3 linked regions of the Danio rerio genome follow. The protein of the gene in region 2 interacts with the protein of the main gene of each other region in a pairwise test. Links are inferred from orthologs where the notes say so. Each region holds a gene or a part of one and is shown on either strand. Other genes may lie near its edges.

The links.
Region 1: the proteins of ntaq1 (region 2) and mif interact in binary tests that used the Homo sapiens proteins (3 or more experiments, as listed by UniProt). The two-hybrid records come from large-scale screens. The link is inferred for Danio rerio from reciprocal best matches to the Homo sapiens genes NTAQ1 and MIF.
Region 3: the proteins of ntaq1 (region 2) and edaradd interact in binary tests that used the Homo sapiens proteins (3 or more experiments, as listed by UniProt). The two-hybrid records come from large-scale screens. The link is inferred for Danio rerio from reciprocal best matches to the Homo sapiens genes NTAQ1 and EDARADD.

Annotation. Positions count from the first base shown.
Region 1 is NC_133189.1:53,749,592-53,753,564, reverse strand, and holds the start of mif (macrophage migration inhibitory factor), read right to left. Parts: upstream 2,801-3,973; 5' UTR 2,688-2,800; coding exon 2,580-2,687; intron 1,706-2,579; coding exon 1,533-1,705; intron 1-1,532.
Region 2 is NC_133194.1:37,454,580-37,458,716, forward strand, and holds ntaq1 (protein N-terminal glutamine amidohydrolase), read left to right. Parts: upstream 1-1,337; coding exon 1,338-1,417; intron 1,418-1,497; coding exon 1,498-1,597; intron 1,598-2,770; coding exon 2,771-2,821; intron 2,822-2,901; coding exon 2,902-3,050; intron 3,051-3,475; coding exon 3,476-3,600; intron 3,601-3,686; coding exon 3,687-3,790; 3' UTR 3,791-3,806; downstream 3,807-4,137. UniProt on the Homo sapiens protein: Mediates the side-chain deamidation of N-terminal glutamine residues to glutamate, an important step in N-end rule pathway of protein degradation.
Region 3 is NC_133192.1:23,889,695-23,893,653, forward strand, and holds the start of edaradd (ectodysplasin-A receptor-associated adapter protein), read left to right. Parts: upstream 1-1,159; 5' UTR 1,160-1,421; coding exon 1,422-1,479; intron 1,480-3,959. UniProt on the Homo sapiens protein: Adapter protein that interacts with EDAR DEATH domain and couples the receptor to EDA signaling pathway during morphogenesis of ectodermal organs. Mediates the activation of NF-kappa-B.

The DNA.
Region 1 (3,973 bases), on a different chromosome or scaffold from region 2:
AATATTTTATTTAATAGTCTACAGAACAAACCACTGTTATACAATGACTTGCCTAATTACTCTAACCTGCCTGATTAACCCAGTTAAGTCTTTAAGGGCTCTATTTTGACGGTCCATGCGCAGAGCGCAAAACGCAGGGCGCAAATGCTTTCAGGGCATGTCAGGACGCGTTTTTGCTAATTTAAGGACGGGAAATCTGCCCTGCCCCGCGGCGCATGGTCTAAAAGGGTTGAGTTTATTTTCTTAATGAGTTATAGGTGTGTTTTGAGAATAAACCAATCAGAGTCTCATCTCCCATTCCCTTTAAGAGCCAGCTGCGTCGCGCCAAGAGCGCATTCGCTATTTACAGGACGCAAAGTAAGTCTAAGTGGAAAAAATGATCATTTCACAAGCAAACAGTTCACAGTTAACAGTTTATTAACAGAAAACTGTTAAACAGAGCATCTACTGCGTGAGAATGAGAGATAATGGATCTACTTTCACATTCGCTCTTGAATAGGGAAACCTTTACGCACAGACATCAATTAGTCTATAAATAAATAATTTTGTTTGTTAAGCGCAAAGATTTGTTTCAAAACTGTTTCTAAATTCAGTTCTAATTTCCAGCAAACGAATAAATGAACAATAATAGCAAAATGTGCTCAAAAACCTGAGTTATATCCTAAAACACATGCTGTGCCCCATATAATAAAACAAATATAAATATGGATATAATAAATAATACTGGTAATAATAATAACATTATACAGAAGCAAATTGTTATGAATGAACTGAAAAAGCCTCCGGAGATGAAGAAGGCATAAAAGCAGTGATTTTTCATATTTATGTAGGCTAGAAAATAATATGTTTTGTAATATTTTAATCCTTTATATTTATATCCTATATCTATTATTATTATATCCTATATATATCCTTAATATTTACATTTTTTCACATGTAAAAATATTTGCCTATTGCTCTCTTGTGTGTAGGCTATTAAGCAGTGTGTAAGCGAGGCGCAACTCTGCGCCGGAGTTTAGACCGGGTTAGTTTTAGTCTAATGAAAAATCTATTATAGATTCTCAAAATAGCAACGCGCCAGCGGTCCGACTCAGAACGCCTCCTTTTTAGACCAGAACGCCTATGAGCGCACAAATGAGCGCTAATGCATTTGCTATTTAAACAGCGTAGCGCAACGCCTCAAAACGACTCTTGCGCCAAGCTGAAACTACCAAAAGACTAATGCGCCACGCCTTGCGCCACACTGCGCCGGGTGTATGATAGGGCCCTAAATGTCACTTTAAGCTGAATACTAGTATCTTACTGTCATCATGGCAAAGATAAAATAAATAAGCTATAAGAAATGAGATATTAAAACTGTTTTGTTTAGAAATGTGTTGTAAAAAAAAAATCTCTCCATTAAACAGAAATTGGGGACATTTTTTTATAAAAAAAATAATAATAATTATAATAATGCTAATAATTCTGCAACTGTACGCACAACTGTACGCTAAAATGTGTGCATAATAAAATGGCCATCAGTGTGAATGTACCTGTCAGCAGAAACGCCGAGGTGTTTGTTGAGTAAACCCATGAGGAGTTTGGAGTATTGTTTATTCTGCGCGCCGCTGATCTTCCCGATGCTGGTGAGCGAGCAGAGCGCACACGGGTCTCCTTTTCCCCCGAACATCATCATCTGATCCGGCACAACCTGTACGGCGATGTACTGTCACACAGACAAACACAGAGAAACACTACAGCTCAGTACTTTATAATACAGTGCAATTAAAATAACACAATTTTAGATGTTAGGCAGCACAGTGGCTCAGTAGTTAGCACTGTGGCATCACAGCAAGAAGGTCGCTGGTTCGAGTACCGACTGGGCCAGTTGGCATTTGTGTGAGGAGTTTGCATGTTCTCCCCGTGTTTGCATGGGTTTCCTCTGGGTGCTCCGGTTTCCTCCACAGTAAAACACATGTGCCAAAGGTAAATTGAAAAATTTTAATTGGCCGTAATGCATGTGTGTGTGTGAATTAGTGTGTATAGGTCTTTCCCAGTACTGGGTTGCAGCTGGAAGGGGATTCGCTGTGTAAAACATAAGCTGGATATGGTGTGGTGGTGGAAGTGGTTCATTCCACTGTGGCTGATGAATAAGGGGACTAAGTTGAATGAAAATGAATGAATAATTAGTAAGTTCAACATGACGTTCTAGTAAATCAGTGAAATACACAAGCACGTGGTGCTGTGTAATGAGATAACGCAAATGCGTCATGACGTAAAAGAATCAATGAATCGTTTTTTGAACTGGTTCTTTCGGTTAATCGAACTGATTCACGGAAATTAGTTTGCCTTCTAATCACTTGAGCATCTTAAATCAAGACTAATTATTACGCATAATCTGTCTATATTTAATTTAAGATTAAATTTAATTAAGAACGAAAATCCGAGTCGACCTCAAGCTGCAGCTAAGAGGATAACTTGCGCTAGCGTGTATGTTTTGAAACTCGTAACAGTGCTTACAGTTTTCTATCCCATCTAAACTAATATGCAAAGTCATACGATAAAATACGGCAATAAGTAAAATAAAGTAGGTAACTAACCTGCTGGGGTTTGCCCATGGCTTTGGCGAGCTCCTGCGTGGCCTCCGACAGCAGCTCCGCCGGAACCGAGTCTTTAGCAACATTTGTGTTCACTACAAACATCGGCATGACTGCGACAGAGATGAACAAAACTACTTTACAAAAAAAGTGCAAGTCAGAAGGATCAAACTCCTGCAGGAATGACTCCAGATGTGAGGCTCTAGGTTGAAGGAGGCGGGTATTATAACGCGAAGCTAGTGTGCTTCTTGTAGACTACCGTAAAACCCCGCGTGACCCAAATAAGGATGCAGATTTGATGCAGCCTCAGCAGCGGTTGCTGCTAGAGGAGATACAGCTGCGAACGCAAGTTAAAGAGGATTATTTATTTATATTATTTATTAAATTACCCATTAATTGTATTTTACTAACGTCTATACCTTAACCATAAACCCAACCATCACAGTAATGTAAAATCAGTTAGGCTATATCGAGTATTTTTCATATTGTTTATTATTAAATTACCCATTATTACTTTTTCAACATCTACCCTTTTCCTTCGGCTTTGTCCCTTTTTTCATCAGGGGTGGCCACAGTGGAATGAACCGCAAACTTATCCAGCATATGTTTCACACAGCGGATGCCCTTCCAGCTGCAACCCAGTACTGGGAAACACCCATACACACTCATGATATGCTGTATTAATGTGAGTATCTGCAGCTGTATCCAAGACTGTACCCTCAGGGCAGCACTATGTCCTCTTTGACATAAATAACCATAAATAAACGCCAGTAAACAACTAAAACAATTAAATAAATGACAAAAATTACTTTTTTTTATTTATTAACTGTAAAAAATTATGAATGAACTGTGTTATTTTATTAATTGTTTCTTTTAGTTCTAATATTTTTATAATTTCTTTTAATTGTATTTACATTTGATTTGATTATTATTTTATTAAAGGCGCAGTTCAGCCTAAACCTTACTTAAAATAAGTTATTTAGAAGAGAAAATTTAAACCATTGACTTCGATAGTAGAGAAAAAATACTATGAAACACAATGGTTAAACAGGAGTTCAGCGATGTTATTTTGTGTTTAACAGAAGAAAGAAACCCACCAACGTATCCAGCATGTTTTACACAGCTGATGCCCGTCCAGCTGCAACCCAGTACTGGGAAACACCCATACACACTCATTCACACTCATGAAATGCTATATTTACGCGAGTATCTGAAGCTGTATCCCAGACTGTACACTCAGGGCAGCACGAGATGTGGAAACTGTCATCTTTGACATAGATAACCATAAATAAACGTCAGTAAACATCTATAACAAACAAATAAATGGCTAAAATTGCAGTTTTTTTATTTATTAATTAAGTATTAAGTTTTATTAACGGTTATTTATTGTCTGTAAA
Region 2 (4,137 bases):
TATTATTTTTTTGCATAAGAAAAGTGTCTATGTTTACACTATGTTAAGTACACAAAGCATTACAGTCAAATAGAAAGAAAGATCATTTTATTAAAAAGTAACAAAAATAAAGTGCAATTTCAACTATTTTATTCGTGGTTTTTCCAGTTCACCAGCTCTCAAATCAGTGGGTCCACAAGTGCTAATGAGATCATTAGTAAAAGACATTCCTAAAAACGAGGTGTTAATGGTGGGCTTTTTCTGATGGCTACACCTCAAAACATAGGTGGCCCTATACATCTTGTTAAAAGAATATGGTTAATATTTGTTGGTTTAGCTTACTTTATAACATCATAAGTATTTGAATGTTATCAAATTTCATTTTAAACAAACACGTTAGCAAATAGTGGATTCTTAAACGGTAAAAGTGTAAAGAGCTGTTTATTTGTGGCTCAGAAATGGGGATTTAGCCTATGAAAACAATAAAAAGTGTAATAAAACAGTTGTACAAGTAAATAAATACATCTCTCAGAATGTGATATATTTAATCCAAAAAAATATTTACCTTATTTTACAAAAGACATCTTGTACGCATATATATTTAGAACATTTTGTGGCTTTTTATGACCAAAGCAAGTGTGAACCAAGACAACTTTTGACAAGACTACATAGTTATTCATTTAGACTATGTGCTAACCTCCTTAATATTAACTCATACTGTGGTTTTGGTAGACAATTTGAATGGACTGATAGTTTGAAACATATTGTCAGGACTCTATAATGAGTGAACATGTATAGAGAAATGAAAGGGTTTGAGATAAACATGCATTAGAAACAGAAACACATTTTCAGTTTAAAACAAAATATAGTTCACAAAAAAAATTTATAGATATCCACAAACATTTATACAAGTATGTGGCAAAAAACGAATTAACGTGCAACAAAATACAATCAGATACTCTGAAATTAGAAACCAATACATTGGCTAATTGTATTGAGTTGAGAACGATGCCTAACTGCACGTTATCTTTCGCTAACGTGTTTTCTACTTATGCTTTATGAAAGTTAGACTGTTTAATATTTATGCTGATAATCGTGCAAGTGCTACATTTGCAATTCACATAAGGAGTGAATGTTCGCGCATCACCTGTCTCGCCGGAACGACAAATCCCCTGAAGTTCCTTACGGACAAGATACATTGTAACAAGCAACAGTGCGGTTGCAACGCGAATCGCTTCATTGTAATATTAATGTAAATATCTATGGTATCATTATACACATGTATTCTTTTGTCATGTCGTTATAACTGGAAGTCCGCGTAAACCTACTGTATATACACGTATATAAGGAAGGAAAGAATGAATGAAGAAAGCGCTTCGTCTGAATATAAAGTGATCACCCCGTCCGGAAACCAATGTGTTTACACCAGCTGTTACTGGTAAATGCGATAATACCTGTAACATTATTTCAAATTTAAAACGTACCGTATTCATACACGTATTTAAATGTTTGTTGCAGTGAGGAGAATGTGTGGAAATTGTGTGAATATATCAAGAATCAGAGACATTGTCCTTTGGAAGAGGTGTATGCAGTATTTATATCTAATGAAAGAAAGAAGGTGAGCTTCATCTCCACACAAGTATTTTACATTTAATGAAATGTACAGTTTTCTGTTATATACATACATACACACACACACACACACACACACACACACACATACATATATATATATATATATATATATATATGTATATATATATATATATATATATATATATATACATATATACACACACACACACACACACACACACGTATACAGTCACCGGTCACTTTATTAGGTACAGCTTTCCAACTGCTGCTCAACGCAAAAATAAGCCAATCACATGGCAGCAACTCAATGCATTTAGGCATGTAGACATGGTCAAGACGATCAGCTGCAGTTCAAACCAAGCATAAGAATGGGAAAGAAAGGTGATTCCAGTAACTTTGAACCTCGAACCTTGAGGAGATGGGCTACAGCAGCAGAAGACCACATGGGTGCCACTCTTGTCAGCAAAGACCAGGAAACTGAGGCTACATTTCACACTGGCTCACCAAAATTGAACAATAGAAGATTGGAAAAGCGTTGTCTGGTCTGATAAGTCTCAATTTCTGCTGCAACATTCGGATGGTAGGGTAAGAATTTAGCGTCAGCAACATGAAAGCATGAATCCATCCTGCCTTGTATCAACGGTTCAGGTGGTGGTAGTGTAATGGCATGGGGGGTATTTTCTTGGCACACATTGGGCCCATTAGTACCAATTAAGCATTGTGTCAACGCCACAGCCTACCTGAGTATTGTTGCTGGCCATGTCCATGCCTTTATGACCAGTGTACCCATCTTCTGATGGCTACTTCCAGCAGGATAACGCACCATGTCATAAAACGCAAATCATCTCAGACTGGTTTGTAAAACATGACATGAAGTTCTGTAATCAAATGACTTCCACAGTCACCGGCTCTCAATTCAGTAGAGCACCTTTGGGATGTGGTGGAATGAGAGAATCGCATCACGGATGTGCAGCCAACAAATCCACAGCAACTGTGTAATGCTATCATGTGAATATGAACCAAAATCTCTTGAGGAATATTTCCAGTACCTTGTTGAATCTATGCCACAAAGGATTAAGGCAGTTCTAAAGACAAAAGAGGGTCCAACCCGGTACTAGTAAGGTGTGCCAAACAAAAGGGGCCAATGAGTGTATATATAGTATGTATGTGTGTTAAAAATTGTGTAATATTTCAGATACCTATTTGGAAACAAAAGTCCAGTCGAGGGGATGAACCAGTAATTTGGGTAGGAACTTTATATGTATAAAAACTATGCATATTTTATGGTAGTCTCTAATTGATATAAAAATGTTGTTTTCCATTTAGGATTACCATGTTATTCTTCTACACGCAAGTAAACAAGGACCGAGCTTCATTTACGATTTAGACACCATTCTTCCATTTCCTTGTTCGCTTGACGTTTATTCAATGGAGGCCTTTCAGTCTGACAAGCATTTGAAACCTGCTTACTGGAGGCAAGTATTATCTGGTCTAATCTGCATTCTACAAAAGATGAAATAACATAAGTGTAACAAGTACTTAATAAATTTATAAAAGAAAAGCACATCATAAAATGTGAGGACAAAATTGAATGAAGATTTTAATATGAATTAGTATTTTGAGGCTGCATTGTTATCCATTTAGTATGGCCTCACATTATTCTTGTTTTAAATATAACTTAGTATTTTAAACTACTGTTACACTTAACTACATTTTAGAGGTCATCTTATGTAAATTGTGGTGATGGACAATAGTCAATTAATTTACTTTTGCATTAAATAATATTATTTTTATATATATATTTTTTAACAAATGCTTAAACTCCTTTATGTCTTTGACCCTTATAATAATAATAGCCAGTCTTAGTTGAATGTAATCAAAGTGTTGTTTGCTCTTTTAGGAAACTTCGAGTCATACCCGGGGACACTTATTTGAAGGAGTTTGCTTCTGATCGGTCTCATATGAAGGACTCCGATGGGAATTGGCGTATGCCACCTCCAGCATATCCATGTTTAGAGACACCAGGTTTGTTTTCTATTGCAGATTTATATACAGTAAATACTATAATTTGATTTCTTCTTCCACTTTCATGTATAACGTGTCCTTTTCAGAATCCAAAATGAATCTTGATGACTTCATCTGCATGGATCCCCGAGTGGGATATGGAGAGGTTTACAGCCTTTCAGACTTTGTTAAACACTTTGGAGTAAAGTAATGCTTTTTTTCCAGCACATTTTTTGTTGTTGTTGTTGAAAAATGTACATAAACAGAGCCTCAGGGAAAGATCCTATTATGATGGAGAATGCTGCAACTAAGCAGGCCTCAAAAGACACATTTATTGACTCTGAAATTATTTTTACTAATTGAACAGTTGGCAATGTGGCTTAATTATAGTCAGGTAGAAAGGTCACAGAAAAGAAAGCCATTGTTGTCATTTGTCGAGGATGTGTATTATTTTTATAAAGAAATCAGTTACACAGATGTACAGATAATAAAAATGCAGAATTTAAACAAACAACCAAACCGAAATGCGAAACTGTGTAAGCAGTTGTAGTGCTGTAG
Region 3 (3,959 bases), on a different chromosome or scaffold from region 2:
ATCTAATTTTTTTTTGCGGCCCCCCTAGCGCCATCTGGCGGCCCCCAGTTTGAAAACCCCTGTTCTATAGAATTGAGATCAGGGCTTTGAGATGGCCACTCCAAAACATTCGCTCTGCCCGCACTTACACTGCACTATTCAAGTGACTCAATTCCATTTTGTTTCTCTCATGTGGCACAGATCGGATATGGCCCATGTACGTGTAAGCATACCTAAAAGTTTAAAAAGCCTATATGTAAAAAGAAGATGGACAAATGAGAACATTTCTGTCATAAACTATAGTAAAACAGACTGTCAAAAGCTGCAAAGAGATTACATACAGGATAGAGAAAAGAGCAATCTTTAATTATCAGCTATAGTCAGCGCCCGCTTTTTTTTCCTGGTCATTGCGCCTTTGTTGTGTGCTCAGTGTGTATATGCAGACGATCGGATATGAGTTACTTTTAAATATGATGTAAGCAGGTCATCAAAAAAATCGGATACAGTCACAAAATCGGAATTGGCCATCAAGATATGCAGTGTAAATGCAGCCACTGTATATGTGTGTGTGTGTGTGTGTGTGTGCGTGTGTGTGTGTGTTGGGGGGGGGGGGGGGGGGGGGGGGGGGCTATATATGTACACACACACACACACACACGCTTTAACTGCCCCCCAAAAAAAGAAAAAAAACTGGATGACACTGGATGGGTTTGATATGTCGGTTTATGGTAAAAGTACCGGAATTAATAAATGTACTCTGAAAAATCTGAAAATATGAAGTGTAAGACCAATTTATTTTTAAAATATATAAAAAATAAAGCATTCTGAATACTAAATCATCTTTATCAAGTATGCCATAAAATATTTCAGATTCACAATTAACATGTTTTTAACAGTAAAATCAAAATCAAGTGTAGTAGTGCAACAGGATTGAGTTTGTTTGATTTGTTTGTACAACTCTGTGTGTAAACCATTAATAAAAAGTCATTTTTAAAATGACTTTAACAGTCATTTTTAAAACAGTCAAAAAATGGTCAACCATTTGTTATAGCAGGCATTTAAAGGGTTCAGCTATAGGTAACTATAAATAAATGATATGCGTGCTCCACTCAATCGTGATTTTCAGATGACAACTGGGCGTTCCGCGCGTGTAAAAGAGGCAGGGGTGAGGAAATATGGCGTTATCTATGGCGTAAATGATCTACGTAATTTCCTTTAGTGTGGGAGAGATATAGTTGAGCTCTGTGTTCCCACATCAAATTAACCGCAAAGACAGAAAAGTGCGTGAGAAAGTTGTCAGGTAGTTTGAAGGTTCTCGTGTAAGGTCAGACTTCTTCCAGACTAGCACGCGCACAGGTGAGGTGCTGTAAACAACGGTGCGGTTCACAACTTCACCTCCATCCATCCAGCAGTCTCGTAAAGGTGATCAACGATCTTCTCCTATGTGTGAAACAATCGTTATGAACATGACGAGCTTGAAGGCGTTCACCGAGCCGTTTGGTAAGTAAATACGCTTGGTGTTTACTAAGTCATGAGGGAAAATGTGCTTCACACGCGTGGCAAATGTCGGACACTTGTTTTGTCCTGGCTCAGTGTTCTTTGTTACTTTGTTTTAGTGTCTTTAAGGGGTACACGGGGAAGGGGAAGCGTGTCAACAGGTTAAAATTACATTTGAAAGAACGATAAGGTCTTTACAAGCACATAAGATCCATCGTTATGTAGCCTAAATCTGTACGCAGAAGAATATAAAGTGTGTGTAAATATGTATGTATGTATAAGTATGCATGTTTTATATATATATATATATATATATATATATATATATATATATATATATATATATATATATATATATATATATATATATATAAGTTTGCAGTTGTTTGGTTTGACCTTCATTTGTTCATGGATGCTGCTTTTACATCTGTTTCTATTTTATTTCTCTTCATCAAGTTACTAAAACGTGGTGTTTCATTTGTAGAGGTCATTTGTATTTGTTCATTTGTAGAGGTGACCAGGTTTCTCCTGCAGTACTTGTGTATTGCTTCTGTTAGTTTATGGGTGGCCATGCAGAAGAAGATCTGCGCAGAGGGTTTTGCCCTGCAGGGTTATATTATGATGTGGTTTACATTTTATCTCTTCAAGTGCATCCCGAGCATGCAGCTACATGCTCTCTGCATTCCCTGGCTTAGCAGAAACAGTCATGAATGGATTCAGGCTGCACAGGTTTGGATTCGTCTGCAGTACTTACTGGGCACGTGTAGATTGATCTGTCCATCTCTCTACTGTACTGCTGTGAACATGCTGAATTATGATTGAGTAAAAGATATGGAACAGATATCAATCTACAACAAATGACATTGTTTATTTTGTTACTATTGATTATATTTATGTTTATGGAGTGGGGCAGAAGAAGTGAAAATAAATTTCCACAGTCAGATAACATCAGCTAAAGGTGTTGCATACTCTTTCCGCTCGTGTTGCTGCTCATACTCTCAGCAGTCACCATAACTGCAGTGGAATGAGTGCTCTTCAACATCCTGTTTCAGTTGTTGGGATTTCCTAGAAAATACCCTGCATTTCATACTCCTTTTGATTTGACAAGGACTGTTTTAAGAAACTAAAAATAACCTCATAATTCTTCAGAATTGTGCCTGTGTTTTTGTAAAATAGTGATGGTGGTCAATAACTCACACATGCAAACATTTTTTGTAAGAGCTGAGGATAAGCTGTCTGGTGTGGGTGAATCTGGGGTTATAACCAGACCTATATCAGTTTTTCCCCTTCTGGAAACCTCAGGAAACTGGTGTCTGAGGTTGCCTTTTGACTGCACTTTGCGAAAGACTCAGCAGAAGGTTTTTTTGTTTTGTTTTGTTGTTGTTAATTTGCAGTGCTGTAAAAGCAACAATTTGTTATTTTCTTAGAATGTTTAGAACTGTTTTTTTTCTTAGTTTAAACACTGTTTAGTACTCTGAAGGATTTTTAATTGCTATAAAGCCTGCTGTGGAATATTTTATATAAATATAATATTAAGCTTTTTGTGGAACATAACGATTCTATAAATTAAGGGTTTTAGAACCAGTAAATCATTTTTATTATATATATATATATATATATATATATATATATATATATATATATATATATATATAAAAAACTGCTTTTCAATTTATTGGAGTTTTATTAGTTGGCATGGGCTAGTATATAAGATTCTGATGTTTTAATAACCTTGGATAAAAATTTCACGGTGTGATAATTGCTTTAAAATATATTCTTTTTAAATGTCTGGGTAAAAAACAAAAACTTTTCCCCATTGAACACATATTTTATGTTGAGTAATATTTAAAATATTTTGGAAGAATAAACATGTCAGGCTGAATAATTCAAATGAATCATTGACTTTGCAGTCTTCATTAGATTAAAAACACACACATCTATCTATCTATCTATCTATCTATCTATCTATCTATCTATCTATCTATCTATCTATCTATCTATCTATCTATCTATCTATCTATGTATCTATTTATGTATCTATGTATGTATGTATGTATGTATGTATGTGTATGTATATATATATATATATATGTGTGTGTGTGTATATATATATATATATATATATATATATATATATATATATATATATATATATATATATATATATATATATAGACCATAAAAACTCTCTCTCTGTTTAATCATAATGTACTCATTTATTAAAAAGCCTTGATCTGTGACAGATAGAGTTGATTTTAAGTGTTATAGTAATTGGCCTAATAAGAATATTAGCTCTACATGCTAATGCTGATGATGAATTATTTCCACTGTTTGAGTCACATGTTCCACTGACAGTTGCTGTACAGTGTAGGATTAGTTTTCTGTTGTCAAACAAACTTCTGCAGTGCTAATTCTAACTCTGCATTGATTGGGCATCATGGAACAGTCACAATTTTTAAATTGGACATCAGCATTCTCTTTGT